5 linked regions of the Canis lupus familiaris genome follow. The protein of the gene in region 4 interacts with the protein of the main gene of each other region in a biochemical or structural test. Links are inferred from orthologs where the notes say so. Each region holds a gene or a part of one and is shown on either strand. Other genes may lie near its edges. The genes, in order: CIT, SMURF1, PKN2, RHOA and DIAPH1.

What was found.
Region 1: the proteins of RHOA (region 4) and CIT form a complex in vitro, tested with the Homo sapiens proteins (2 studies listed by BioGRID, with this or other methods). The link is inferred for Canis lupus familiaris from reciprocal best matches to the Homo sapiens genes RHOA and CIT.
Region 2: the proteins of RHOA (region 4) and SMURF1 form a complex in vitro, tested with the Homo sapiens proteins (2 studies listed by BioGRID and IntAct, with this or other methods). The link is inferred for Canis lupus familiaris from reciprocal best matches to the Homo sapiens genes RHOA and SMURF1.
Region 3: the proteins of RHOA (region 4) and PKN2 form a complex in vitro, tested with the Homo sapiens proteins (2 studies listed by BioGRID, with this or other methods). The link is inferred for Canis lupus familiaris from reciprocal best matches to the Homo sapiens genes RHOA and PKN2.
Region 5: the proteins of RHOA (region 4) and DIAPH1 form a complex in vitro, tested with the Homo sapiens proteins (2 studies listed by BioGRID and IntAct, with this or other methods). The link is inferred for Canis lupus familiaris from reciprocal best matches to the Homo sapiens genes RHOA and DIAPH1.

Annotation. Positions count from the first base shown.
Region 1 is NC_049247.1:16,225,916-16,231,640, forward strand, and holds part of CIT (citron Rho-interacting kinase), read right to left. Parts: intron 1,110-5,725; coding exon 968-1,109; intron 1-967. UniProt on the Homo sapiens protein: Plays a role in cytokinesis. Required for KIF14 localization to the central spindle and midbody. Putative RHO/RAC effector that binds to the GTP-bound forms of RHO and RAC1. It probably binds p21 with a tighter specificity in vivo.
Region 2 is NC_049227.1:10,566,311-10,572,035, reverse strand, and holds part of SMURF1 (E3 ubiquitin-protein ligase SMURF1), read right to left. Parts: intron 4,197-5,725; coding exon 4,082-4,196; intron 2,827-4,081; coding exon 2,648-2,826; intron 1,073-2,647; coding exon 935-1,072; intron 169-934; coding exon 48-168; intron 1-47. UniProt on the Homo sapiens protein: E3 ubiquitin-protein ligase that acts as a negative regulator of BMP signaling pathway. Mediates ubiquitination and degradation of SMAD1 and SMAD5, 2 receptor-regulated SMADs specific for the BMP pathway.
Region 3 is NC_049227.1:60,077,191-60,082,915, reverse strand, and holds part of PKN2 (serine/threonine-protein kinase N2), read left to right. Parts: intron 1-2,098; coding exon 2,099-2,241; intron 2,242-5,418; coding exon 5,419-5,526; intron 5,527-5,725. UniProt on the Homo sapiens protein: PKC-related serine/threonine-protein kinase and Rho/Rac effector protein that participates in specific signal transduction responses in the cell.
Region 4 is NC_049241.1:40,285,706-40,291,430, reverse strand, and holds part of RHOA (transforming protein RhoA), read right to left. Parts: intron 3,967-5,725; coding exon 3,846-3,966; intron 1-3,845. UniProt on the Homo sapiens protein: Small GTPase which cycles between an active GTP-bound and an inactive GDP-bound state.
Region 5 is NC_049223.1:35,676,029-35,681,753, reverse strand, and holds part of DIAPH1 (protein diaphanous homolog 1), read left to right. Parts: intron 1-506; coding exon 507-686; intron 687-1,509; coding exon 1,510-2,259; intron 2,260-3,318; exon of another isoform or gene 3,319-3,339; coding exon 3,340-3,454; exon of another isoform or gene 3,455-3,570; intron 3,571-3,966; coding exon 3,967-3,975; intron 3,976-5,725. UniProt on the Homo sapiens protein: Actin nucleation and elongation factor required for the assembly of F-actin structures, such as actin cables and stress fibers. Binds to the barbed end of the actin filament and slows down actin polymerization and depolymerization.

The sequences.
Region 1 (5,725 bases), on a different chromosome or scaffold from region 4:
AGCTGTGACAACAAATAATACCTCCAGACATTGCCAAGAGTCTAGAGAAGGCGAAATCACCACTGGTTGGAAAACACTGATGTAAGGTAATCGAATACAAAACTAGGACTCAGACAGCGGCAGCCAACTCCTCCATCTCAAGGAAGACAAGAACAGGGTGTGGGCACAGCCAATTTATGCCTTTCATAGGGCCGGACACCTTTCCCTTCCTCAGCCCCCTCTTCCATTAAAAAAAAAAGTCAAGGGGCGCCTGGGTGGCTCAGTTAGTTAAGCATCCAAATCTTCATCTCAACTCAGGTCTTGATTTCAGGGTCAAGCCCCTTGATTTCATGAGTTCAAGCCCCATGTCAGGCTCCATGCTAGGTATGGAGCCTACTTAAAAAAAAAAAAAAGAAACTATGAAAAAAGTCAAAATTATATTTTATGATGACATTGTCATAAAGATGAATAAAATCCCAAATCATTATTATTATAACCATATTTTTCGTATTATTTCAAAATTAATTTAACTAGTGAAAAGAGGTTCAATTTATTAAAATTAAATATTGTGGGCTCTAAGCACTGTGCTTGCTATGCCTGTTAGATTATCAGCCCTGAGTGGGTATAAGGATGGAGCCAGTGGACACTGCTTAACAGCTGGAACCAGCTATACCAAAAGTTTAACCCAACCCTAGATTTCTCAGTTTCATGAGCCCTAAATTCACTTTTTGGCCTCAGCTAGTTTGAGTTAAGTTTCTGTCACCTGCAACCATGAGACCTAACTTATCTGGCCTCCTAACTGCAGCAGATAGAAACTGACCTTGAAACTGGGTCTGAAAAAAAAAAAGAAAAAAGAAAGAAACTGGGTCTCTCTTCCTCCAAGCAGAGTTCTTACCCACTACCACCAACCACTAACTCATTTGGCTTCCAGCATCTTTGCAGTTTTCTCTGGCAGAATGGTTTTCAAGAAAAATTTCTCCAAACTTACACTTCCGGACAAAGTTGCTCACGTGCTTGATCTTCATCAGAGCAGGCTGACTGCATTCTCCAAAGAGAACGAAGAGGGCATCTAATATCCCTTCTCGGGAAAGAGGAGACATCTGCTGTTGAGTCAGAAAGGGTGGTTTCCCCTAAAAACAGCAAACAGCAGATGGAGACACTGTCAATAATGAAAAGCTTTGATCAATAACATCCACACAGAGTAAATTACAAGCCACCAACTCTAACTGCTCACGACACACGCTAACAGCACAATTCTGGGGCTTCATTCTTTAAAGCAACATCAATTGAGAGTCATTACGTTATCACTTGTACGATTCCATTACCGTGGATTTCTTCCACCAGCACCTGGGAAGAAAAGCTTCACAAGCATGCCATTAACAAGAAAAGGCTCTTCTTTCTTAACAGTCTGAGGCTCATGGGAACATTTACTCTGGACCCTGCTGGTTACGACATGCATGTTTCCATGTCTCTACAATAGGACACAATGATTGCTACTTCTTTTGAGTGTGCCTGGAGGCTTGCTAATATAACTGCAGTTCCTTTTTTTCTTTTTTTTTAAACGACAATGACCTCCCTTTTTTTTTTTTTTAAAGACTTTATTTATTTATTCATGAGAGACACAGAGAGAGAAGGCAGAGACATAGGCAAAGGGAGAAGCAGGCTCCATGCAGGGAGCCTGATGCAGGACTCAATCCCAGGACCCCGGGATCACACCCTGAGCCAAAGGCAGACACTCAACCACTGAGCCACCCAGCGTCCCAACTGCAGTTTCTTTAATGCTCTCAAACAATCTAGAGTAGTATGGGCAGAGTGACCATTCTAAAGCTGAATTTCTTCATAATCCAGACCAACAGTTGCAAACTGGCAGACTGCATCTAACCCACACAGACATGTTTTGTTGGGCCTGCAGCATTTAAAATAATTTGAATTATCTGCCAATATTGAAAAATAAGGAAATTTTACCCGAAAGAAGGGGTAGGATCTGGGGGTTCTCCTGAAACACTGGAGGATAGAGCCACATTGCCCCACATTCTTTTTTTTTTTTTTTTTTAAGATTTTATTTACTTATTTGTGAGAGACAGAGAGAGAGAGAGGCAGAGGCACAGGTAGAGGGAGAAGCAGGCCCCATGCAAGGAGCCCGATGTGATTGTCCCACATTCTTGTCTGGTGATAAACAGTGGCTCTCGGGTAGCCCTGGTGGCGCAGCGGTTTAGCGCCGCCTGCAGCCCAGGGTGTGATCCTGGAGACCCGGGATCGAGTCCCCCACATCGAGCTTCCTGCATGGAGCCTGCTTCTCCCTCCGCCTGTGTCTCTGCCTCTCTCTCGCTCTCTCTTAATGAATAAATAAATAAATCTTTACAAAAAAAAAAAAAAAACAGTGGCTCTCGAGTGATGCTGCCCCTCTGTGTAGAGAATGTGTTCTGCAGTTCACCGTAGATCTGACTGCCAGTCTTCTATCGGGCCCATGTGACTCACTCATACTCACTGCCTAGCCCCCAAAGACATGAGTTTGCAACCTTTGGTCTAGAGCAATGATCTCCATGTGCATGGGGATCCCTGGGTGGCTCAGTGGTTTAGCACCTGCCTTAGGCCCAGGGCGTGATCCTGGAGTCCCAGGATCGAGTTCCACATCAGGCTCCCTGCATGGAGCCTGCTTCTCCCTGTCTCTGCCTCTGACACTCTCTCTCTCTCTCTCATGAATAAATAAAATCTTAAAAAAAAAAAAAAATGATCTGGGATGCCCGGGTGGCTCAGAGGTTGGGCGCCTGCCTTTGGCCCAGGGCGTGATCCTGGAGTCCCAGGATTGAGTCCCACATCAGGCTCCCTGCATGGAGCCTGCTTCTCCCTCTGCCTACGTCTCTGCCTCTCTCTCTCTGTCTCTCATGAATAAATAAATAAAAATTGTTTTTAAAAAATGATCTCTATGTGCCAGGCTATGGATTGTGTGGTGATATCTCTGCAAAGATGGCCCCCTACAGGCCCTTTATCTCTACATGTGCTTGCCACCACTCCATTAACAATCTATTTCCCCTCCTCTTGAATTTGTCTCTGTGACTTGCTTCAAGCAACAGGTGACACAAGTGACACTGCCCCAGTTCAGGGCAGAGCTCTCAAGGAGGCTAGCAGCTTCTGCTTTTGCTCTTTTGGGAAGCCAGTCGCCATGTAAAAAAGCTTAGGCTAGACCAGGGGTCAGCAAACTATGGTCCATAGGCCAATCTGGCCCCACTGTGTTTTTATAAATAGTTTTATTGGAACACAGCCAGACCCACTCATTTACATATTGTCTGTGGCTGCTTTTGTGCTACAGTGGCAGAGGTGAACAGTTGCAGCTACCCCAAAGCCTAAAATATTTATTATTTAGAAAAGAAAGTTACAAGGCCTGGGTCAGACTACTGGCTAATGAAAGGCCTCATAGAGAAGTCAGCTGGAGGGACACTGAGATGCACCAGCCAGCAGGCAGTGCCCAGATGTTCCAGCCCCAGCCAAGCTCCCAACACAATATGGCCCCTTGAGTGACCCCAGCTGATATCACGGGGTAGAACAGGAAGACTGCCTAGCTGATTCCAAACAACCCACAGAATCAGAAGAAAAAATAAATCGTTACTGCTTTAAACTTTGAGAGTGTTTTCTTACACTGGATAATAGAAACAGGCTGGCTACATTTGAATCACCTGAAGAATTTAGCTACAAAACAACAATAACAAAATACTCTGGTGCTATCCCTGACCTACTGAACAAGAATTTCCCAGTTAGTAGCTTAGAACATGTTTTATCAACAAGCTCACCAAGAGATTCAAGCTTCGGCCAAGTATGAGAAGCCCTGGGCCACAAGCCACCATACCTGTCACTTTAGTTATACTTCTGTCACAAACTCCCAAAAATACCACCATGCTGATGTTTAACAAAGTTCTCCAGTCTGCCACGAAATGAGAAAACATGACCAGCACATGATGACTTATCTATAAGGCTAACTATATTCATATTTTAAAGTGCTCTTTTATTCTGAAATAATGTCTCCTTTCTCTGCTGTTTCTTAAAATGTCCCTTCTTTATAATGAAAGGACCAGAACGTAATAGGCTTTTCTCTATATCTGTTTTTTTATATCCTTTTTACATCTCTTACTTGACAAAATAAAAAGTTGGTTAACCTATGTCAGCCTAGCAAATCTGTGAAATTGCGCTGGCTCAAAAATCTAGAAGTCTCTGACCGCTGACGCAGAACTCCTTGGCAGGTTAAGTATAATGTTAAGTAGAAACTAAGACCCAGTCTAAAGTCCTTACCTAGATGGAAAACAAAATCATTATCCTACCTAAACCTTGTTAAAATTACATTACATGGGAAAAGAACAGTATCCATACCAGGTTAGGCAAATGTTAGGTGTATGGTACGCTTGTGAATAATTGCTTTCCCAGGGACAGGGAAGAACTCATCATGAAAAAAAGATAAACCGGGGATTTACCCCCAACCCTTACTGTTATAATGACATTTAAATATAATACACACTTAATAAACTCTGACATATGCTGGCAGCGTTGCCAGTGGTTACATGCCCAGCCTCTGTTGTCAGAATAAAAATGGAACCTGGCTCTGTCACTTACAAGCTGCGTGATCCTGGGCAAGTCCTTGCCTCCTTCAGTATCTGTCTCTTCCTACTTAAAATGTAAATAAGAATAGTCCTTACGTCCGTTATGAAGCTGAAGTAAGATAATCAGGAGCATGCTGGTTCTGTACCCAGCACATTGGAAGCCACAATTATTATATATGGAGCACAGTATAATGCCTTTAGTCAATTTTGTAATAAATTGGAAAAGTTTTGGAGTTAAATGTAAAGAAACTAAAGCACAGCAGCACTCCAGTCACCTACAGTTAGGGACAAACTATTCATTTTTGAAAAATATCTCATGACTTAAAACCGTAACAGGAATGGTCCTAACACCACAACCTAAGCTTTCGATCTGTCTCCATTCTGAGCTGTTTGGACATTCCCCAATACCAATATTTTTGGGGGAAATGTCATCAAGAAAGTATCAGTATTTATCATTGTACAGGTATCCTTGCATAAACACCTTCCTAAATATAATTATTGCTAAGTAAACATAAATTGATCAGTATTATAACTAATAAGCGCTTAATATAAATTATCTCATTTAATCCTCATGATAACCTTGTGAATTTGGTGCTATAACCTCTATTTGACAGAGTGGCAAATGGATGCAGAGAAGGCAACGGAGTCACCCCAGGTAACACAGCTAACAAGCGCTGGGGCCAGGATTCAAACCCAGCTCGACACCACTACCTATGCTGACCGCCTGACTTGTGAATACATAAATCGAACAAGGATTTCTACATCAACGATGTTTCACCTACGTCAAAAACAAAAGAATTAAAAATCTACTGGGAATTATTTCCTGATATTAAGCTTTAACACTAGTGGGGGGATTGAAAGGCTCTATATCTTGAGCAGACTATGGAGTTTCACAAGTCTGGGTTGTTTTGGTTTTTTTCTTAAATAAAGATCTCTTAGGGGCACCTGGGTAGCTCAGCCAGTTAAGCATCTGCTTTCGGCTCAGATCATGATCTCAGGGTCCTGGGATAGAGCTCCACATCGGGCTCTCGGCTAAGCAGGGAGTCTGTTTCTCCCTCTGCCCCCTCCCCCCTGCTCATGTTCTCCCTCTCTCAAATAAATAAAATATTTTTAAAAAAACAAAGATCTCTTGAATGAAAAGAAATTCTACAGTAATT
Region 2 (5,725 bases), on a different chromosome or scaffold from region 4:
ATCTGAGACCTCTATTGCTAACTTGGCTCGTCCCGCTGAGCACACACCTCTAGTTCCTTCTGGTCAAAAGGCTTCAGTAAGTGTTGAGGAATAAGTTCATTAAACCCTTTCTGTAGAGCGAGGAACTGGGCTTCGATCCCCCTCATGAACCTCCAATTCACATACAACCTGGAAGACAAAGTCACAAGTTAAAGCCAATAGCAAATAGTTCACGGGAAAGATTTTTTCCTCACAATAGGTTCTGACATCACCTGCTGAAGCTAATGCCTTGCCCACCAGGCCTCCCCTGGGGGGCACCAAACCCCCACCAGCTGGAAGTACCAGGTTAAAAATAAGTCAGCACAGGCCCTGACATATTCTCGTGCTTTGCTAAAAACAGCAGTAGGAATTAACCTGACCTGTCACAGCAAGTGGCATAACTGAAAAGTAGATTTGAAAATAAAACACGAGACACCGTGAGAGCCACACACCAGTCTGGCAGCCTAAGCACACCGACAAGCCCATATGCTTCCAGATTTCTAGTGTAAATGACTAGTCATTTATTTGCCATCAGAGGTGGGAAGGAAAACAGACCACAGTGAAGCAGACTTCCTGGAGACTGCTCTCAAGGAAACTAATAGGCTCCAAGTCTCTCCTGCGCCCACCACCTTCACACCCAGATCGGAAGGCCACCTGCAATCCCTTCCACCACTTGGGTTCTGGGCTCATTAGTCTCCCTTCACCAGGTCAGCCCTGGTGGGATCGGGGCTCCTCTGCACAGAGCCCCACTGCTGAACCCGACTGCTCTATGACTGTGATTCTGATCAAAAGTGCCGGCCGGGATGGGTAAGCCTCAAACAGCGAAGGAACTTTGGCAATCTAAATGTGAACCCAGGATGGTCCCAGGCATCTGGACGTCCCCATGGGCAGCCACCACGGTTCCCTGGAACATTACCGGACATATTCTTTCTTGTTCTCCTCTGTGACAGGAACATTTCGGCCATTGGGTTTTAGTTCATGCTGAAGAATCCTCCCGAAAGCATTGTGTTCCACACAGAAAGTGTGGTCTAGCACGGGGGTGATATCATTCTCTCTGTGGAAGTTAGGACAGAAGACGGATGTCAGACCATGGCCACAATACAGCTGTGAACAGAACAGGAGCTGGAACAGTCCAGGAGATGGATGGACGGACCAATGGCATTTACTGACTGCTACCCCCAGAGCTGAGTGGGGACAGGTGGGGAGCCTTGGGCAGACACAGGGCCTGGGACAGGCCAGGGACACTTGGAGCGGGAGGTGCCGGGGGACCATGGTTCCACGATGCACCCTTGATACTTGGCTCCCCTCGTTCACAGGAAGGTGACAGTGGCTCTGTCATCCTGTGATTTTACAAGACACAGTGACCTGACTGCTTTGTAAACAGAGTCTATAAACAGAAGAGAGGGATGCATGAAGAGCCGAGTCAATGAGAAAGCAACCTGCAGGGAGATACACTCAGATGATACTGTCCTCCCGCCCCTTTAAGGCAGCCCCTCACACAAAGTAGCACATGAGAGTCTCGATGGGCTCCTCCACCTGCCACACTTCTCGAAACAGAGGGAAATATCTCCCTGCCCCTCACAGACTACCCATTTCCAGTAGGGCCACGTGAAGTGAGGTAGAGTGCAAGACCAGACTCTCCCTCTGCCAGAGCCTGGATCTCCCGCTGCTGTGGGATCAGTTCACGTGTGAGGACCTGTGACACGCTGCTCACCATGCAACTGGGCCCACTGCTTGCAAGGGTATGTTAGGATAATTCTTTTAAATTTTTAAAATTATTTTTATTTTTTAAAGATTTTATTTATTTATTAATGAGAGACACCAAGAGAGAGAGAGGCAGAGGGAGAAGCAGGCTCCATGCAAGGAGCCCGACATGAGACTCGATCCCGGGTCTCCAGGATCACGCCCTGGGCTGAAGGCAGATGCTAAACCACTGAGCCACCCAGGCTGCCCACGATAATTCTGAAACAAAGGTGACTGAATATGGGGATCCCTGGGTGGTGCAGCGGTTTGGCACCTGCCTTTGGCCCAGGACGCGATCCTGGAGACCCGGGATCGAATCCCACATCGGGCTCCCGGTGCATGGAGCCTGCTTCTCCCTCTGCCTTTGTCTCTGCCTCTCTCTCTCTCTCTCTCTCTGTGACTATCATAAACAAAAAAAAAAAAAAAAAAAAAAAGGTGACTGAATATAATTTCTCTTGATACTTTTCTTGTAGCAAATACTTTGACATAAGATACTTTGATGCTGATTTTGTTTTTGATACTTTCCCTCCACCTGCTAACCAGAGCCCCCCTAGAGAGTCAAAAGCAAACCACCCACCCACCTCTCAGGCCTGGGGACCAATTGTGATCAGACCTGAAAAATGTGAGGAAACAGCAAAAGAAATGAGCCTATGAAGTGAAACTGGCCAAACATCATGAAAAAAGCCAGTCAACAGAGTATTTCTTGTTAAATCTTCTTTTATGTTTCTGGTTGTAAATCAGTGTTTCTTTATTTCTCTGCACCAACTTCACACCCACCCCTCAAAAGCATTCACATGCACACACACATACAGAATGATAGTCTGGCACACAAGATGGGTGGCTGTGCACGAATGTTCCATGAACTGAACGGTGAGGCTGTACTTACAGAATCCACACCAAGCTCTTGTGTAATTCTGGGTCCACCGACTCCAAATCCGAGAGCTGGATGGGCTTCCCCAGGAGCTGCTTATAGAAGGGAACCGTGAAGCCCCCGTTTATGTAGTGCCCGTGGAACACAGCGAGACCCATGATCCGGCCCACAAAATGGAAATAAGACAGGTGGTCCTGTAGGGGGCACCAGAGAACACGAAGTCATTAGAAAAAGGCAGAGCCAGAGTGGAGAGACCCTGTGCTGCCTCCAAGCTTTTTGGGAAAACTGTCTCATTGCAGCCAGGCCCTGACTCCATCCCTCACAGGCTGTGCTCTCAGACATAGGAAAGAGAGCAGGTTAGGTGGTCAAAACTTGGAGCACGTCTTCTGCATGGATCATCTGAACATGTTACATGCCCTTAATTCAGACACCTGCTCAGGACTGCTACGTCACTGGCGGCACTCCGTGTGAAAGGATAATGCAGGGCCCCTTACTCCAAAGTTGTTAAGGATTTCAACACAGCAACTGCAGGGAATGAAACCAAGCACAGGTCCTCCAAAGAGCAAGGTGCCCAGGAAGCTGGCCCCGCGTCTCCCTGCTGCACCACAGAGAAAGCAAGCAGATGGCAAATCCCCTCCTTCTTCTACCATCCCTCCCCGAGTCCCTAGAGAAAGTGGAAGAGAAAAAAATGCAAAGAAGAAGAAACAGCAAAAAAGGAACAGAAAGGAAAATAAGTGTAAGAGGACCATTCTAAAACTAGAGCTGCTCTGGTTTTTCACAGGAAAACACACATCTCTGCTTTCCATTGGAATTATAATCAGAATTCATCAAAACCTCATTTCCATTTTGGTAAAGAACTCTGTCACACCTGAATGATTGTAGTGTAGAGCTGGTCCCAGGCTTTGCCTCAGGGGCCTTGGCCTCGGCAGCGGCAGCGGTAGCGGTAGCGGTGACCACGGGCCCTGCCCCACAGGACAGCCCCCAAACACCTGCTGCCCAACTCTGGGCTGGTCACGCAAACACTCCACACTTACAGCCTCCTCTCAAGCAAGCAGCTAAGACTATCAGCACTGGTGGCCCAAAAGGCCAGTTGGGGAAGTTCCCATTTTGATTAGGAGGAGGACCGACTATGTAGCCCACGTCTCAGAATGACACGGTCAACAAACACAGTCCTACTACCTCAGTTCCCCCAATTGGTGATTAAAGGGCTCTGAGCATTCCGAGCAGCTCATTTTCACTTCTGTCTTTGAAAACAAAATACCCAGTGATCCCAGGCATGGGACACACAGGAGAGAAAGCCTCCATCTCAATCCAGTTCCCACTCTACCTTTCAGTATCTATTGTCAGAGACTTTGCATAAGTCTACAATGAATAAACTGAGACCAAACCTGAATATCTATTTACAAAAATTTTCCAATTCACTCCCTCTTTATAAGCGTGAATACTTACTGGATTAATTGAAGAATCCGGGTTGATTTGCAACATGTAAATGTTGTCCGTAGAATATTGGAAGAGTCCATAATATGGATTCAACATTTCATGGCATAATAAATAAAGCCACTCCCTAGGAACAATAACATGAAAGCCATTTTATACGTGTGAAATATCTAATCTTATGTCTTACCCAAAAGACTCATTGCCTGTGCCCTGGAAGGCCACACTGGAGGGATGTCCTGCTCTGAAAGAAAGTGACTTGCACAGATTGATTGGGAAGTAATAACTCACTTCTGACTGAATGACAGATGGCTTTTATGGCCCAAACCCCGATGGTTCTGAAGCTGATGAACCAGATGGACCAGAATCGGGACCGCCTCCTGCAAGCAATGTTCTCGACACGTATCTTGTCAGCTTTCCTGCACCTCAGCTGGAGTTTTCTTTGCTACTGTGCAAAGATCCACATCTCAGGTGATGATGTTCATGATGTGGTAATGATGGACAAAAGTACAATAAGAACTAAGATCCTACTTTTATTTAAAAAGAGTGTGCATGCACACACATGTACACACAACAGGAAAAAACTATCCGTGGAGCAAAGAGAAAAAGGAGGATTTACGCTGATACGTTGACAATAGTTAACCTGAGAATTAGCAGTCTGGGGCACTTTCATTTTTCTTTTGGTTCTTTCTAGATACTTTTTAAATTTCCAACTTTAACATGTTTCTAACACTTAAGTGAGGAGAAGATATTTCAGAGTCTGGGGAGACAGGGAATAAGAATGACTTTTGCCCTTCATAATCTTCTATCTTGTCAAATTCTATTTTGCCATAAAAATTTATGACTTTTTTTTTTTTTTTTTTTTTTGCGAGAAAGAGAAAGTGCGCATGCAAGCAAGGAAGGGGCAGAGGTAGAGAGAGAATCATAAGTAGGCTCCATGCCTGGCATGGTGCCTGGCTCGGGGCTCGATCTCATGACCCTGAGATCATGACCTGAACCGAAATCAAGAGTCACTCGACTGACTGAGCCACGCAGGTACCACAACATTCATTACTTTTTGTAATTTAATAAAAAAGTTTAATACTTAATAAGATTAGATTCTAAGAGTTCTAAAATTTGGATGGAATATATAAGAAGAAATTATTTTCAGAATTCCTATATATTCCAATCATTTCATTGTTAAAAAAAAAAAAAAAAAGCCCCAAATCAGGGATGCCTGGGTGGCTCAGAGGTTTGGCGCCTGTCTTCAGCCCAGGGCATGATCCTGGAGACCCAGGATCGAGTCCCATGTTGGGCTTCCTGCATGGAGCCCACTTCTCCCTCTGCCTGTGTCTCTGCCTCTCTCTGTGTGTCTCTCATGAATAAATAAATAAAATATTTCAAAAGAAAAAAAAAGCCCCAAATCAGAAACAACATAAGCCTCTCAATAGAACCTGTATGATTCAGTGCTATGGTTAGCTGTGACAAGCCCAGGTATGGGGAGAACCTTACACAAGCACCTGTACCACTTCTACAAAGAGCCTCTTCTTTCTATTCAAGTTTTATTCTGGAATTTCTTCCTCTGTCAAATAGAAAAGGCATGGAACTGAGAGAGATTATGAAAGGACAAGCACACATGCAAATAATCCAAGAAAACTGTGAGGATACTCACAAAAAGGA
Region 3 (5,725 bases), on a different chromosome or scaffold from region 4:
TCCTGGAGTCCTGGGATCGAGTCCCACATCAGGCTCCCTGCATGGAGCCTGCTTCTCCCTCCGCCTGTGTCTCTGCCTCTGTCTCTCTGTCTCTTTTTCCCTTTGTTCATTTGTTTTGTTTCTTAAATTCCACACGAGTGAAACCTTATGTATTTGTCTCTCTCTGACTTATTTCAATTAGCATTATACTCTCTAGCTCCATCCATGTTATTACAAATAGCAAGATTTCATTCCTTTTTATGACTAAATAAGATTCCGTATTGTGTGTGTGTGTGTGTGTGTGTGTGTGTGTGTGTGTGTGTACATCTTCTTTATCCATTTATCTATCAATGGACACTTGGGCTACGTCCATATTTTGAATATTATAAATAAACATAGGGGTTCATATATCCTTTTAAATTGTTTGAGTGTTTTTATATTCTCTGGGCAAATACCCAGTAGTGTGATTACTGGATCATAAGGTAGTTCTATTTTTAATTTTTTGGAGAACCTCCATACTGTTTTCCACAGTGGCTGCACCAATTTACATTCCCACCAACAGTGCATAAGGGTTCTTTTTTCTCCAGATTCTCGCCAACACTTGTTTCTTGTGTTTTTTAATTTAACCATTCTGACAGGTGTGAGGTGGTATCTCATTGTGGTTTTGATTTGTTTTTTTCCCTGATGATGAGTGATGTTGAGCCTCTTTTCATGTGTCTATTAGTCATCTGTATGTCTTCTTTGTAGAAATATCTATTCATGTCTTCTGCCCATCTTTTAATTGGATTATTTGTTTTTCAGGTATTGAGTTGTATCAGTTCTTTATATATTTTGGATGCTAACCCTTTATCAGATTGTCCTTTGCAAATATCTTCTCCCATTCAATAGTCTGTCTTATACTTTGGTTTATGGTTTGGTATAGAAGTTTTTATTTTCATGTAGTCCCAATAGTTTACACTTGCTTTTTTAAATTTTTTTAAAGATTTTACTTATTTATTTATTTATTCCTGAGAGACACAGAGAGAGAGGCCAGAGACACAGGCAGAGGGAGAAGCAGGCTCCATGCAGGGAGCATGATGCAGGACTGGATCCCAGGACCCTGGGATCACAACCTGAGCCAAAGGTAGACGCTCAACCACTGAGCCACCCAGGTGCCCCTACACTTGCTTTTATTTCCCTTGTCTCAGACGTATGTAGAAAGACTTTGCTATGGCTATTATCAGAGAACTTACTGCCTGTGCTCTCTTCTAGGATTTTTATAATTTCAGGTTTCACATTTAGGTCTTTAATCCCTTTTGAGTTTATTGTATGATGTAAGAAAGTGGTCCAGTTTCATTCTTTTGCATGTAGCTGACCAGTTTTCCCAGCACCATTTGTTGAAGAGACTTTCTTTTTCCCATTGCATATTCTTGCCTCTTTTGTTGAAGATTAATTGGCCATATAATTGTGGGTTTGTTTCTGGGGCTTTCTACCTGTTCCATTGATCTGTGTGTTTCTTTTTGTGCCAGTACTATAATGTTTTGATTACTATAGCTTTGTAGTATAACTTGAAATCTGGAATTGTGATAACTCTAGTTTTGTTTTTCTTTTTCAAGGTTGTTTTGATGGCTAACTCCTAGTTATCCAAGGATTTGCTTTTTTGGTATTTTCTATACCAAATGTTATTTTTCTAATGAACCAAATAAAATATTTGAAAGACTGAATTTGAAAGATAATAGAAATTGAAGCTAAAAATCAGTTTTTTGTTATAACTTCTTAGCATCACTTCTAAAGTAATGACAAGAGAGAAAATAAGTAAAATGAAATATAAAAATTTTATTACCCTTAATACCCTTGTTAACTTAACTTTGAACATTCTAAGCATGAATAAATTAGTAGCTGAGTAAATGATTGACCAAAATATTTATTTTTACCTATTAATTAAATAGTAGAGTTAACTATTGCACAGTTTTCTCTACACCAGTCCTAATATTTTCTTTAGAAGTCTGATATATCTTGAGTTTGATCACCATACACAAATGTGGAAATTTAATTTTGTTTCCTAGGGATATAGTCTGATGTTTTATCTATCATCTAGGTTTTTTCTTTGCTAACAAATACTTAAATTTTACCTTTTCAGGAATGGGATATGGAGATAGAACAAGCACATTTTGTGGCACTCCTGAATTTCTTGCCCCAGAAGTATTAACAGAAACATCCTATACAAGGGCTGTAGATTGGTGGGGACTTGGTGTTCTTATATATGAAATGCTCGTTGGTGAGGTAAGCAGTATAAAATAGATGAGAGAGAAATGAGGAAAGATGACTGAAAGAACAAAAGATGTCATTTATAAATGACTTAATGTCTCCCGCATAAGTAGAACTTAAGTTTTATACACATTTATAATATACTAATAATTGCCTATGATTCTATCTTGTACTCTATACCTCTATACCTGTAACAAAAAGTCAGCTGTGTGTTGATCAAAATACATATTATCTTCAAAAACAGTACCTCAGAGTTAAAAAGATTAACATTTTTCCCCTCCTGTTTTTTTTTAGATTAACTTAAATTTCTTCGGGGGAGGGGGCACCTATGTGGCTCAGTCGATTAAGTGTCTGATTCTTGGTTTCAGCTTAGGTCAAGATCTCCATCATGAAATCAAATTCTGCATCCAGCTCCTTGCTCAGCATGGAGTCTGCATAAGATTCTCTCCCTCTCCTTCTGTTCCCCCCCACACCCCTACTCATGCATGTGTTCTCTCTCTCTCTCTCTCTCTCTCTGAAAAAAATAATCAATTTATGGAGATAGCTTAGTTTTACACAGAAATTGTCACTCCTTAGGAAACGGTGAGTTATATCTAATAAAGCAGCAAGAATTGGCTAGTCTATTTTGTTATAAATTGTTGGAAATGATAGAGTGGAATTGGGAAAGGGTAAATATTTAGACAAGTCATTGAAAACTGCTTAGAGGGGCTTACTGATTTGGGGTTGTAAAAAATGAGGTTGGTTCATTATTTTGCAGGTTTCCCAGTACCAGCAATCTTCTTTGAACATTCTAAGCATGAATAAATTAGTAGCTGAATAAATGATTGACCAAATTATTGAATGTCAGAAATTTCCAAAGTATTATCATTTAATGATATTTGTTCCAGACAAAGGATTTTAATCCATCCAAACGATAGCCCTTTTGGTATGTCAAATTGGAGTGGATACTTAGAAGAGGAAAAGAAATAGCTAATTAAAATGTTTACCATGTGCCAGGCACTATTTTATTTACTTTACAAATATTAGCTCATTTAGCTTTTCAGCAAACTTTAACAAGCTCAATACTAGTCTTAGGCCCATTTTAAGGTATATAAATGGAGGCACAAAGAAGTTAATAACGTGCTTGAAGTCACAGAGCTCTCGTGTGATGGAGCTGGGATTTTTAAGGCTCTCTGTTTTAAGAACCTCTCTAAACCATTATGCTTTGCTACGTCAGAGTGTGGAATTAAGTTACCAAAAATTATATGCTTGCTTAAAATTTATTCCACATATTAGAGCTGATAGGCAAAAAATGTGAGTTTATTATAAAATACTACAGAATTAAGAACCAGTTGATTCTATCTCCTCCTATCCTAAAATGACTGGAAAACTTTGCAATGGACAAATGAAGCTCCTGTTCTATATTTTTTTAAAAGAGCCTCTAATTGATTAACCTCCTAATTACAAGAATATAAAAGACAAGGGATTCAGCTCTTCCATCACAAATTTTTATTGCAATATCCGTTCTCTTTAGCACCTTTGTAAGAGGATAGTTGGGATAAGAACTGAACTTAAAACTTAACCATCATACTTTATAATTTTTTTATACTTTATAATTTTATAGCGTTGGTAAAATTTTAGCAGTAACTACTAACTGTGATAAAAAGGTTTGGCTAAAGTTTATATCTAATTTCTCTATTATTACAAATAATTGAAAACTCACTGGATATATCATGCATTTTCAAATTTGTTTTTGAAATTTGTATTTATGTTTCTTTGGGTTTTGAGAACTAGAAAGACTCCAGGAATAAACTAACATACTAGGTCCTCTTTCCCAGTGCCAAATGAGAATGAAAGTATCAGAGAAGTTTAAAGTAAGCTTAGATACTGAACAGACCATTGCATTCTTTTTATATTTGCTTAAAACACATTTGTTAGCATTCTGTTGTTAGTTCTACTAGCTTATAATCGATTTGCAGAAACAAGGAACTTTAACACCTTAATGAATATGTGGGTATATCTTCACTATTCAAGGATTTGTATTTTTTAAATACAAAATTGATCAGAGAGACCAATGCTTTGTGTTACCACTTGAAATTCTGATTGAGAATCCATGTGAAATAGAATTTTCCTCTAATTTGCAGCTGCCTCAATCCCAGAAAGAAATTATATTATCCCACATAGTAGATATTTGATTTATCTATTTGATTTATCTATTCTGAGTGAGTGAATGAACAAAACTAAGGTTATGATCATTGAAAAGTTTGAAATTTCCTTAGATAAGAGCAATAAAATTGGCAGCTCAGCTTTAGGAAGTTGGGTTCTAAATTCATTTTCATAGATTCAGATCAAAGATCTTTCTCTTTCCAGTAGTATTGCTTTCTCTTTGGTCCTTAATCATTAATAACTTAACAGGAAGTAAGCCTGTAAAGAAGAAGTAAATCTTAAGTCCTCTCAGATTGTGAGGTAATAAGCCATATTTCATAGCCACATTTCAACATGGTTTAGCTTGTCCCTTTGTGCATCAAATGGTTATACTGAATGTAATTTAACTACTTTTTTATGACTTAGGGTCATTACTTTAAACTCTGCTTCCTGAGATACCCTAAGACTGGTTGTATATCAGGCTTAAGTTAAAAAAGCCTAATGTATGCTTTTGAGTGTAATTTCGTTGGCATCTGCTTCTTAGTGCAGTCATTATACCTTTAAATCTCCTATTGTGTTTTGCTAATTAATTTGTTATTGACTGTGATGACATTCAAAGCACATCCATATTAAATGTATTCCCACAAACTCTCTGCTTCTATGGTAACACTTATTACTGTATTTACCCATTTCCTTCTGTCTTTCCACAAGATTGAGCTTCTTGAGGAACATGTCGATAATCTAAATGATTTTCACTATCTAGTAGCACTCAAAATATTGACTGTTAGGCCAGATACATGAATGAAATAAAATAGAATGGAATTAAATGAAAGATTGTATTACTAATATAACCAAATTTGCTATTAAGGTCTGGGAAATAAAGTTGAAGAAGATTTCAATGAGACTATGTGATATATCATCTGGATAATAGATCTATCTATTCTGACTTCTTGTAGTCTTTGTTTGGTGTTTTGGTATTTCCTCACTACCTGGTTCTTAGCTGTACTTTGGATGAGTGATAAGATTTTTTGAAATTCATTTTGACTTACTCAAAGATATTTCTTCTAGTCTCCCTTTCCTGGAGATGATGAAGAGGAGGTTTTTGACAGTATTGTAAATGATGAAGTAAGGTACCCAAGGTTCTTATCTACAGAAGCCATATCGATAATGAGAAGGGTAAGAATTAATGATTTATAAACTGTTTAAATTTCTTATATTGAAGGACATTTCTCAATTAGAATTTTAGAAGGTTTTTATTTTTCACTTCATAGATGTTGCATAGTTTAGACAAACACATAAGAAAAAAACATTAAATCTTTGTAGGTTATGAGAATCTTTATCAACGAAGTCACTGGTTTTATTTTAACTTTTATAC
Region 4 (5,725 bases):
AGGTTTTTTTGTTGGGTATCTGTTTTGGCCTCTCTCAGTTCCTTTAGGTCTCTCCCAAAAGTCACCTTTTCAGCAAGGTTGCTGACCATCCTATATGGTCATCCTCTGAAACAGAATACTACCATGGCCCATCCCATAACCACTTCTGAGAATGTTATCTGTAAAATTTCTTGCTATCAGGTCTACTGTTATGTTTCTTGGACTTACTGTTGTATTTGCTCTTCTGTCTCAATCTAGAAGTTTCTTCCATAAATAGGCGCTCAATAATTATTTGAATATATGAAATTATTACTCCCAATAGTCCCCCATCCCTTGGGAGTGTAGGACACAAAAATTAAAATGAATTGCCTCTGTGTTGCCTCCTCCTTTCATGAATAATTTTTTTTTAAAGATTTTATTTGTTTATGATAGACATAGAGAGAGAGAGGCAGAGGGAGAAGCAGGCTCCATGCTGGGAGCCCGACGTGGGACTTGATTCCGAGACTCCAGGATTGTGCCCTGGGCCAAAGGCAGGCGCCAAACCGCTGAGCCACCCAGGGATCCCCTCCATTTTTTTTTTTTTTTTTTTAAAGTAGGCTTCATGCCCAGTGTGAGCAAGAGTATCATGCTTTACTGACTGAGCCAGCCAGTTGCCCCAAAACTTTATTCTTAAATTCAGTGATGTCAATCACCTATAATCTCTCCTACCCCTAAAATAATCTGATCACATTGGGGCATAGCACCTTGCATGGATTTACTGTGGGGTTGTATGATGGCCTTTGGGAATTCCAGAAAACCAGGAGAAGGAATCCTTATCATCTAGATCAGGGGTCAACAAATAAAATCTTGTCAGCACCTGGGTAGCTTGGTTGGTTAAGCATCTGACTTCAGCTCAGATCATGATTTCAGGGTCCTGGGATAGAGCCTTGAGTCAGGCTCCCTGCTCAGTGAGAAGTCTGTTTGTCCCTCTCCCCCTCCTCCTCATCTTCTCTCTTGCATGTGCAAATAAATAAATAAATAAGTAAGTAAGTAAGTAAGTGGGGAGACTGGGTGGCTCAGTTTGTTAAGAGTCCAACTCTTGGTTTTGGCTCAGGTCATGATCTCACAATCGTGAGACTGAGTCCCATGTCAGGCTCTGTGCTGAGCACAGAGTCAGCTTCAGATTCTCATTCCTTCCCCCTCTGCTCTTTCCCTGACTCGCTCAAACTCTCTCTCTAAAATAAATAAAATCTTAAAAAGGGGGGGGGGGGGATTTGCTAGAACATAGACAAACTCATTCATTATATATTTTCTGTGGCTGCTTTTGTGATACAACAGTGGAATTGAGTGTTGTGGCAAAGTTTACTAGAATATATGGCCAACAAAGCCTAAAACATTTGCTATTCGGTCTTTTGTAAGTTTGCTACCCCAGGTCTCAAACTAGTATTATAGACTCTAGACCAGCTGCCAGTCCAGACAGCAGGGCTGAAACTTTCACAACATCCTGATTCCTGATCAAAATTGTTATCCTATACCTAGAGGTAAGGCAATAGTCTAACATCCAAGCAAGTAAAACCAAAGTATAACATTAGATTGACAATAGCTTTTTATTTTCTTGATCCAGATTTTGAGTTCCCGTAACACATTTTATTTACTTCGGCCAACTACTGGTGGGATTCGCCCCACCCTATCCAAGCCAAGACAACAGAACTTTAAGATTTCATTTATTTGACAGAGAGATAGCAAAAGCCAGAGAGCATACATAGGGGGAATGGCAGAGGGAGATGGAGAAGCAGGCTTCCCGCTGAGCAGGGAGCCTGATGCAGGGCTCAATGCCAGGACCCTGGACCATAATCTGAGCTGAAGGTAGACACTTAAGCGACTGAGCCACTCAGGCACCTTCAACAATAGAACTTTTAAAAGTACTTTGGCAAAGCCAAGCTAGTTAGCTCAGCAAAGGAGCTCCACCTAACAATCACACTCTTGCAAGGACCTCCAGGGAAGGCAGAGCATCCTCCAACATCAGACCCTCTCCCTAGGTGTGTTTGTATTTCAGAGGAGATCAATCTCTCTTTGCCTCTTTACTTTCTACCTCTGCTCTCCTCCCCAGGGCCTGCCTTCTGGGAGAAGGGCCATCAAGAAACAACTCATGGCTAGTAAAGAGAAATCAAAAGCTAAAGAAGGGAACCCGGGTGGCTCAGTCAGTTAAGCATCCAACTCTTGAAATCAGCTCAGGTCTTGATCTCAGGGCTTTGGGTTCAAGCCCTGTACTGGGCAGCCTACTTTAAATAAAAGGGGGAGGGGCGGCTAAAGACCTCCCTTGAGACCAGGAGACATGAAGACAAGTAACATTTTGCTCCGAATATGTTTCTGTCCCTAGAGGATTATACCTTGGATGATGAGATAGAGGGCACACGTTCTTCCTCATTCCTACAGGATTTAGACATAATCTATGTTGTGTGTGTGAAGGGAGGGTATCACATGTCTCTGTTTTTTCTGTGACCTGAAGCTCTGTCCTACCCTCTAGGGCCTTCCAACAGTCCCCCAAAGCAAGCCAGATTTGTTTGAAAACCCAGAACTAAAACAACTGTTGAAAATGACCAAAGTTAACCAATGGCAGAGAGGACTTGCTCTGTCTCAGTCCTGGGAGACACTGCACAGAGAGCTCAGTCTCAGCTTGACTCCTTGGGTTGCATAACCTTGATAAAGTGGTTCAAACTCTTGCGAGTGCCCAAGTATTTTCATTAAAATGAGTATAACCATGAAAAAAAAAAAAAAGGTCACATAACCATAACTGGCCAGCACAAGCCCAAATCACCAGCAGGCCCTCCAAGATGGTTTGTGTTAATGATAACAATATTCTTGGCCTTACTGCTACCTTGTAAAGACAGCACATCACCATGAGACATTTCCTCCTTTTTTTTTTTTCTAAAGATTTATTTATTTATTTATTCAGAGAGAGGGAAAGAGAGGCAGAGACACAGGCAGAGAGAGAAGCAGGCTCCATGCAGGGAGCCCGACGCGGGACTCAATCCCGGGTCTCCAGGATCACACCCCGGGCTGCAGGCAGCACTAAACCGCTGCGCCACCGGGGCTGCCCACCATGAGACATTTCAAACTTATCAGCACAAACTGAAAGTAAGTTCTGTTTCAGGCCCCGGTGCCTTGTTCTGCAGAGTGTGAGGTCAGTGTTATTCAGTCTCTTTCTGAAGGACAGTGGCTTCTCAGATGTGTGACCAACTGAGCTAGTGAAATGGTCAAGTTCAAGTCTCTCCTTATTAGCCTAGATACTTTAGAAAAGGGCTAAAATGTGGCTTTAAAAACATTACCAGGAGGGGCACGGGGTGGCTTAGCTAGCTAAGCATCCAACTCTTTGATTTAGCTCAGATATAATCTTAGGGTCATGAAATCAAGCCCTGTATCCACCTCCATGCTCAGTGGAGTCTCCTTCTCTCTCTCTCTCCCTCTGCCCTCCCTGAGTGGTCTCTGTGTCTCAAAAAAATAAACTTTTAAACAACAAACAAAAACAATACCAGGAAACAGCAAATCACCAGTCTTGATATCGGGAAGCAACAGGCTCAATATGAAGTACTGAAAAAAAGGTGAGCACCCAAAAAAGCCTTTCCAATATCTTAGTCCAAAAGATGGCTTTGTATTTGATAACCCACCTACTTTACAAGGTAGAGACCATGGCAGCCATAGGAGACCTAGGCTGAAAAGTGACCCAAGGCTTAGGCTCTATAGTCCGAAGCCTCTACTCCAGCCACTGATGACTCCTTCTCTGAAGTTCATCTTTGCTTTTTACCAGTTGATGCATGAAAAAGGACCTGAGAAACCAGTGTCAGACAGGCACACAGTGACAAACAACAGACTGCAGGGCTACTCACCTAAGCTATCAGGGCTGTCAATAGAGAAACACATCAGTATAACATCAGTGTCTGGATAGGAGAGAGGCCTCAAGCGATCATAATCTTCCTGCCCAGCTGTATCCCACAAAGCCAACTCTACCTGTGATAGGAAAAATAAACGTAAGAATGCAAGGTTAATCCTACCCACTTTCAGAATATGGCAAATAGTCCAAAATAGTAAAACAAACCTGAGGCAGAGGGTGTGTTTAAATTATTTTAGGTTGAAATTTCTCAAAATACTAGCAGTATATAAAGTACATAATTCAAAATATCGAGTCAAAAATTACTTATCTTGTAAAAAGCACAGTATTTAATTATAAACATTATACACAGAAAAGCAGATGAACAAGGAAAATCAACTATAAACAACATTCTACCAAGTATACAAAACATGACAGAGAAACACTAGACGTGAGTAACTTTCCCCTATATATTCTAATATAACCCTTTCCTTATGTTTTTCTCATCATTTTGCCCCAATGTGCAAACATGGATACAAGATTATTTGAGGGGAACCTGGGTAACTCAGTCAGCTAAGCATCTGCCTTTGGCTCAGGTCATGGTCCCAGGTCCTGGGATAGAGCCCCACATTGGGCTCCCTGCTCAATGGGGAGTCTGCTCCTCCTTCTCTGTTTCCCTCTGTTCTTCTGCTAATAAATAAATAAAATATTTTTTTAAAAATGGTGGGATCCCTGGGTGGCGCAGCGGTTTGGCGCCTGCCTTTGGCCCAGGGCGCAATCCTGGAGACCCGGGATTGAATCCCACGTCGGGCTCCCGGTGCATGGAGCCTGCTTCTCCCTCTGCCTGTGTCTCTGCCTCTCTCTGTGTGTGACTATCATAAATAAATAAAAAATTTTAAAAAATGGTATTTGAATTGGTGGGTAAGAAAAGACACCAGGCTAGGTGTTAGGCAAGGTCTCAGTGGACAAGAAAGGTCTCTGGACCTGCCTTTTCTGCTCAAAAAAATGTGAATGAAAGCATCACTAAGATAGTAAAGTACTCCCTTCACACCTGGAAACCTGCTCACCTTCCTGTGGTAGGAGGGCAAGCTAATGCCTGGGCTCTGGACAGAGGTCCCCCTCCATGTTCTCCAGCACTGCAGCCAGCCCTGTGATTTCTCACAACCAGAATGGGATTTTAACATCTTCTGCTTAGCGACCCCATGGTGCTCAAAGCTCTCCTAGTATTTGGAATACCCTTTTTTTTTTTTTTTCCTCCTAGAACTTTCACAGCCCATATTTCAAAGTTTCTAAGTAACATCTTTTCCTTAAAGTTGATGGCTAATTATCTCTTCCACCCTCAAACTCTGCCCTAGGATGCATCACTCACAACCTCCACGAGGCCCACCTGCACTTCTATCATACACACACACACACACCCCCCCATCAGTTTGATATGTGTATTTCTAATACTTTGATACCCAATCCTCACAACAGACTGGAACATTTACTCTCTGCCAAATCACGCTGCCCTGGCCCCTTCATGCCTCATGTGTATTCAGTGAGACACATCCAACCCTATATGCTGATAAATGAATGGTTCAGGGTATTGGGCCTATCTCTTGTTAGAATGGGCTTTTCCATTTTTGGTAGGTATGTTCCTGGGACACAATCACCTAGAATCTTTGACGGTTTCCTAGGCTCTGTTACTGTATACTCTTAAATGAACATTCTGAGGCAGTACCCTCTCTCAACTTGGAGGTTACTTACTTACTACCAAGCATTTTTATTTCAGGGACCCTAGAATTCTGAATAGCTGGCTTAATGTGCTTTCCAAACACAGTGCCACAAACTGAGGCACTAGAACAGAAAGGGATAGTAAGGTAAAGCAGAAAAATGAGAAGGATGAAAGGACATGGA
Region 5 (5,725 bases), on a different chromosome or scaffold from region 4:
TCTGCTTTTTTTGTTCATTTATTTTGTTATTTATTTATTTACTCATGAGAGACCAAGAGAGGCAGAGACATAGGCAGAGAGAGATGCAGGCTCCATGTAGGGAGCCCGATGTTGGACTCAATCCCAGGACTCCAGGATCAGGCAGGCACTCAACCACTGAGCCACCCAGGTGTCCTCCCATTGTTTTGTTTTTTAGATTCCACGTTTAAGTGAAATCATACAGTATTTGTCTTAGGTTGTTTTTATTTGTTTTTTTTTTTTTGGGGGGGGTAGTTTTTATTTGTTAATCTAACTCCCCAAATTAGAAAGACTTGTAGAAATGATCCCCAGTTCCCCCTTCTTTAACTTGATTTTAAGGTCAAAATTACGGTGGTCTTTTCCCCCAGGCATTTCCTGGGAAACTGAGCTCCTTAAAGAATTAGAACAAAGCAAAGAATTTTGGGGAGTAACATTGTTTCTTGCTGGAATGGGGAGCTCACTAGGGGCCTGATTCTTTTCTGCTTTAGCTGGACTCAGAGTTAACAGCCCGACATGAGCTACAGGTAGAAATGAAGAAGATGGAAAGTGACTTTGAGCAGAAGCTCCAGGATCTTCAGGGAGAAAAGGATGCCTTGGATTCTGAAAAGCAGCAGATTGCTACAGAGAAGCAGGACTTGGAAGCAGAGGTGTCTCAGCTCACAGGAGAGGTAATGTCTGAGCAGGCAAGGCAGAGTGACCTCCATGCCATCAGCAGCCTCATGACAGGCCTGTCTTACAGCAGGAGTCAGTTATCTTACTCCGGGAGAGGGTTTGACTACCAGTAGGTGATCTAGTTAGATGATGCTTATTTTAAAAATCATTTACTTTATTTTATTTTAATTTATTTTATTTTATTTATTTATTTTATTTTATTTTATTTTATTTTATTTTATTTTATTTTATTTTATTTTATTTTATTTCAAAACATACGATAGAAAATTTGGGAAAGATGAGCAATACGGAGAATAAAAGAAGTCACAGTAATACCCAGAAATGAAACTAATAGTTGTCTCATAAATTCAGGAGTAAAATCCAAAAAAACTCTTCGTATGTTTGCTAATTTTCTCTTATTTTAGCTGTTTCTGAACAGATTAATGTTCACACTCTCTTTGCAGTTAATATGATTTAAATGATCTAATGATCTGTGGTATCTGATATCTTGATCATTTATGTGGTTATTTCTTTAGAATAATTGATTTACTTGAACTTTGCTTTTTCTAATTAAAGGGACAATTTCACATAAAGGTTGAAGTTGCCTTTTTAATGCAAAGCATGCCAAACTAAGAACATGAAGACTTGAGTTCTAGTTTTGGGTCTGCCACTAGATATCTGTGTGACTTTGGGGGAATCATTTCATCTGTCAGACTCCTTTTAGTGTCTTCATGTGTAAAATGAGAACTCTGGACTAAGTAGTTTTTTAGGTCCTTCCCAAGCCCAGTAGACCCTGATGTGGAGTGAGGAATAATACTTCCATTGATGTTGTTCCTCTAGGTTGCTAAGCTGTCCAAGGAACTGGAAGATGCCAAGAAAGAAGTGGCTTCTCTCTCTGCTGCAGTTACTGCTGTGGCCCCTCCTAGCAATGCTACTATTGCCCCCACTCCTGGCATTGTTATTCCACCTCCAGCCCCTCCTTTACCAGGGGAGCCTAGCATACCCCCCCCAGCTCCTCTTCCTGGAGATGATACCATTCCTCCTCCACCACCTCCCTTTTCTTTGCCTGGGGGTGTTGGTATCCCTCCACCCCCTCCTTTGCCTGGGGATGGTAGCATCTCCCTACCCCCTCTGCCTGGGGGTGCTGGCATCCCCCCACCCCCTCCTTTGCCTGGGGATGCTAGTATCCCCCCACCTCCTCCTTTGCCTGGGAGTACTAGCATCCCCCCACCTCCTCCTCTGCCTGGGAGTACTGACATCCCCCCACCTCCTCCTTTGCCTGGGAGTACTGGCATCCCCCCACCTCCTCCTTTGCCCGGGAGTACTGGCATCCCCCCACCTCCTCCTTTGCCTGGAGGAGCAGGCATGCCACCACCTCCTCCTCCTCCTCTTCCTGGTGGTCCTGGAATCCCTCCACCCCCTCCATTTCCTGGAGGTCCTGGAATTCCTCCACCTCCTCCTGGAATGGGTATGCCTCCACCTCCGCCTTTTGGATTTGGAGTTCCTGTAGCCCCAGTTCTGCCATTTGGATTAACCCCAAAGAAGCTTTATAAGCCAGAGGTGCAACTCCGAAGGCCAAACTGGTCCAAGGTGAGAATTTCTCTCCATTTTTTCCTCAATAGGTAGTAAGAAACCAATTCAGTTTCCTATTTTGTATTTTGTGCCCAGGTAGGCTTCCCCCCCTTTTTTTTTCTTACAGATTTTATTTATTTATTCATGAGAGACACAGGGAAAGAGAGAGGCAGAGACATAGGCAGAGGGAGAAGCAGGCTCCATGCAGGGAGCCTCATGTTCCAGGACTCAATCCCGGGACTCCAGGATTACACCCTGCGCCGAAGGCAGGCACTAAACCACTGAGCCACCTAGGGATTGAAGGGCTTCCCTTTCTTAGGGCTAGCATCTGTCTTTCTCAGGTTCCACTCACGCTTATGTTCCTTCAGCACATATTAGGCATCTTCTGTATGCCAGACATCACTTTGAAGAATTCTTTGGGCCCTATACTCTGCTACAAAAGCTAAACAAATCCTTAAGTTAATGTTTTGGTCTTTCTTTCTCAGGGTATGAGAACCCTGCCATAGTAACAGAGAATTTGACAACAGTCATTTCATCAGTCTGCAAGCTGCTGATAGTAGTGCTGATCTGAAAATGGTGGATTTATGGATACACCCTGCTATCTCACTCCCCTATAAATGAGCTAAATGAGAGGATATGTTTGCATGGCACAGTATTGTCCCCACTATGTAATTGAGGCCCCTGTGATTCTGCATCACCCTTCTGCTTCCAGAAACCAAGTTAAAGGAGCTGAGGGATTTATTTATAAATTGAACAAATTTGTCATAGTTAGCCAAATTGATGGGAAAAAATGTTGTAGAACAAGGAAAGATGTAAAATAAAGCCTCGATTTTTCTAAAACTAGAGGATTTGAGGTTAGAAGGAGGGTAAGTAGCATAATTGGATCTAGCTCTTGAATAACACCAATAAAAAAAGTGGAAGCACTGTGTCTTGACCTTACCACAAAGAGTGCAGCTCTTCTGTGTCTCACATTAATCTTCCCCTAGTGAGACAATGCTGAGAACCATCACTCCCCTTTTTTGCATCTTAGTCAGTTTTCTAGGATGGAAAGTACAAGGCTCAGCTTAGTAACTCTGAACACCCTGCCTGTATCTACAGTTTGTTGCTGAGGACTTGTCCCAGGACTGCTTCTGGACAAAGGTGAAGGAGGACCGCTTTGAGAACAATGAACTTTTCGCCAAACTTACTCTTACCTTTTCTGCCCAGACCAAGAGTGAGTACCTTCCTCTTCCGTGCACAGGTCCAGTATAGGACTTAGAATATCCTTTAGGTGGATCTCCCATTCCATTCCTTTCCCTGGGTGAGAGTTGAAGAGAGGTAGTTTTTCCCCTTTGGAAGAAATTCAGATATTTTTGGATCCCAGGGATGCTGGGGTTGGGAAAGAAAACTGTTGCATTTTGTTATTTTTCTTTCCCATTTTTTTTGCATGTAGGTATTTTTTTTTTTTTTTTTTTTTTGTCATTATAACATGTTGGGGAATGAGAGTAAGGTGACAGGAAGCTTATTAGGGGGCCCATTTTGATAATACTCTTGAACTGATTCTGGTCCTGTCTTTAAGGTACCATCCCAGACCTACAAACTTAATTAATAAGGGTTGGGCCAGTCTTTAACAGGTTAGGTGATTGAGTGACTGTCTACAATAACAACCATATGTGATGCTTTTTCTTTCTTACATTTCTTTCCAATATCTGATGCTTTCCTCTTCCTGGCCCTTTGCTCCTCCAGCTTCAAAAGGTAAGAATACAGAAGAGCCTATTAATTGGGTATCGTGAACATTAGACAAAAGATGTAACAGATGTAAAGGAATTTCTTAGAAAACTGAGTTGAGATAGAGGATTGATTTATTTTCTGCCCCCCCCCCCCTTTTTTAAAGAGTCCAGAAGGACCAGTAACTGTGATATTAACTGACAGCATAGACAGTTGTTTTAAGTTTAGGTCAAAGCTGCCATATACTTGCTACATTCTGTAGCATGTTTGAATTGAATAGGTAGCTTGCCCAAGGTTAAATGACCAAATCCAGGGATCTTGTCTTCTGGTCCATGTGTGTGGGGTTTTTTTTGTTTTTTTGTGTTTTTTTTTTTTGGTATAAATTTTTGCTTTTCTTTTTCACCTTCATATCTTCCCGTTTGCTCTAGAAGAGCTGATCTGTTTTGCCCTCTTCTTTCTTCACTTCCTAATTCTTGTGGTTTTGTGCTATCTTGTGACAGGGCACTTGTAGTTATTTCCTTGAGGGATACAGTATTTGAATTTAATGACATTCGTAGCATAATCATTTTGTATTTCCATCTTACAGTGTCTCTTCGTTTCCTTAGAGGTATATTATGACCCTAGTGATGAAAATTAAGTGCAACTTTTGAGCATTTCCCCCTCTTCTCTCTGCCTTCTCCCCACCCCCAGTAAATAAACATTTATTCTTTTTTTTCCTTAAGTGAACTGATGGAACCAGGCTGCACTTTGTTCTCTTACGGAGCCTAACATTGCTAGGTGCCTTTGGTGGCCTCTAATTATGTGTGTGTATCTGAGAGTGTAAGATCGCTGTACCCAGGTGTGATCTCTTGCCCTTCACTCAGCGCAAAGTGGCCTTGTACTCTAGAAGCACTGTCATCTTCTGAACTAAAGCTCAGTCAAGAGGATTACTTCTACCTGTTTAGTGAAAAATACTGTGATAATGACCACTTAGGCTATTCTTGTATATCAGTGAAGACTAGTTGACCGAGAAACTCAAAATCAAATGACTTCCTAATTTGTAAGTTCACAAAATATACACCTACGTTGGCCTGTGGCATAAGGCCCTTTCTCTGAGCATCTCTGTCCTCTGAGCATCACTGCACACTCACACTGGGCAGCCCTATTCCTCCTGCCTGTCACCCCCTTCTTCTGTACATTTGCATTACTAGGGATTATAGTTAGGTGGTTTGCAGTTTCATGCTCTTCCTTGGCATTTTATTCGCACTGTGAATTGATAGTGTTTTAAAAATACCCAAGAAGACCATATCTCTTTCGTCATTTTTAGCAGTGTAACCAGATTTCTTTTTTTTAAGATTTTAGTTATTTATTCTTGAGAGACACAGAGAGAGAGAGAGAGAGACAGAGAGAGAGATTGAGGCAGAGACACAGGCAGAGGGAGAAGCAGGCTCCATGCAGGGAGCCTGACGTGGGACTCAATCCCAGGACTCGAGGATCACGCCTTGGGCCGAAGGCAGGCGTTGAGCCACCCAGGAATCCCAAGTAACCAGATTTTTTAATGTTCCTTCAGCTCTCAGATTCTGCCCTGGAAACTACTTTCTTTTCATGGAAGGTTCTAACTTTCTACCAGCCTTGGCTCCCCCCTCTAATTATTCTTAGAAAACTCTGTGTATTACTCTGATTTTAAAAAATGAATGTGAATTAGTCATTTTAATTTAGTGGAATACTGATCTTCAGGTAGTAATCTGCACTACTAGATTGCTGCTGTTGTGATGGAGGAAATTTCTAGCTTGTCTTT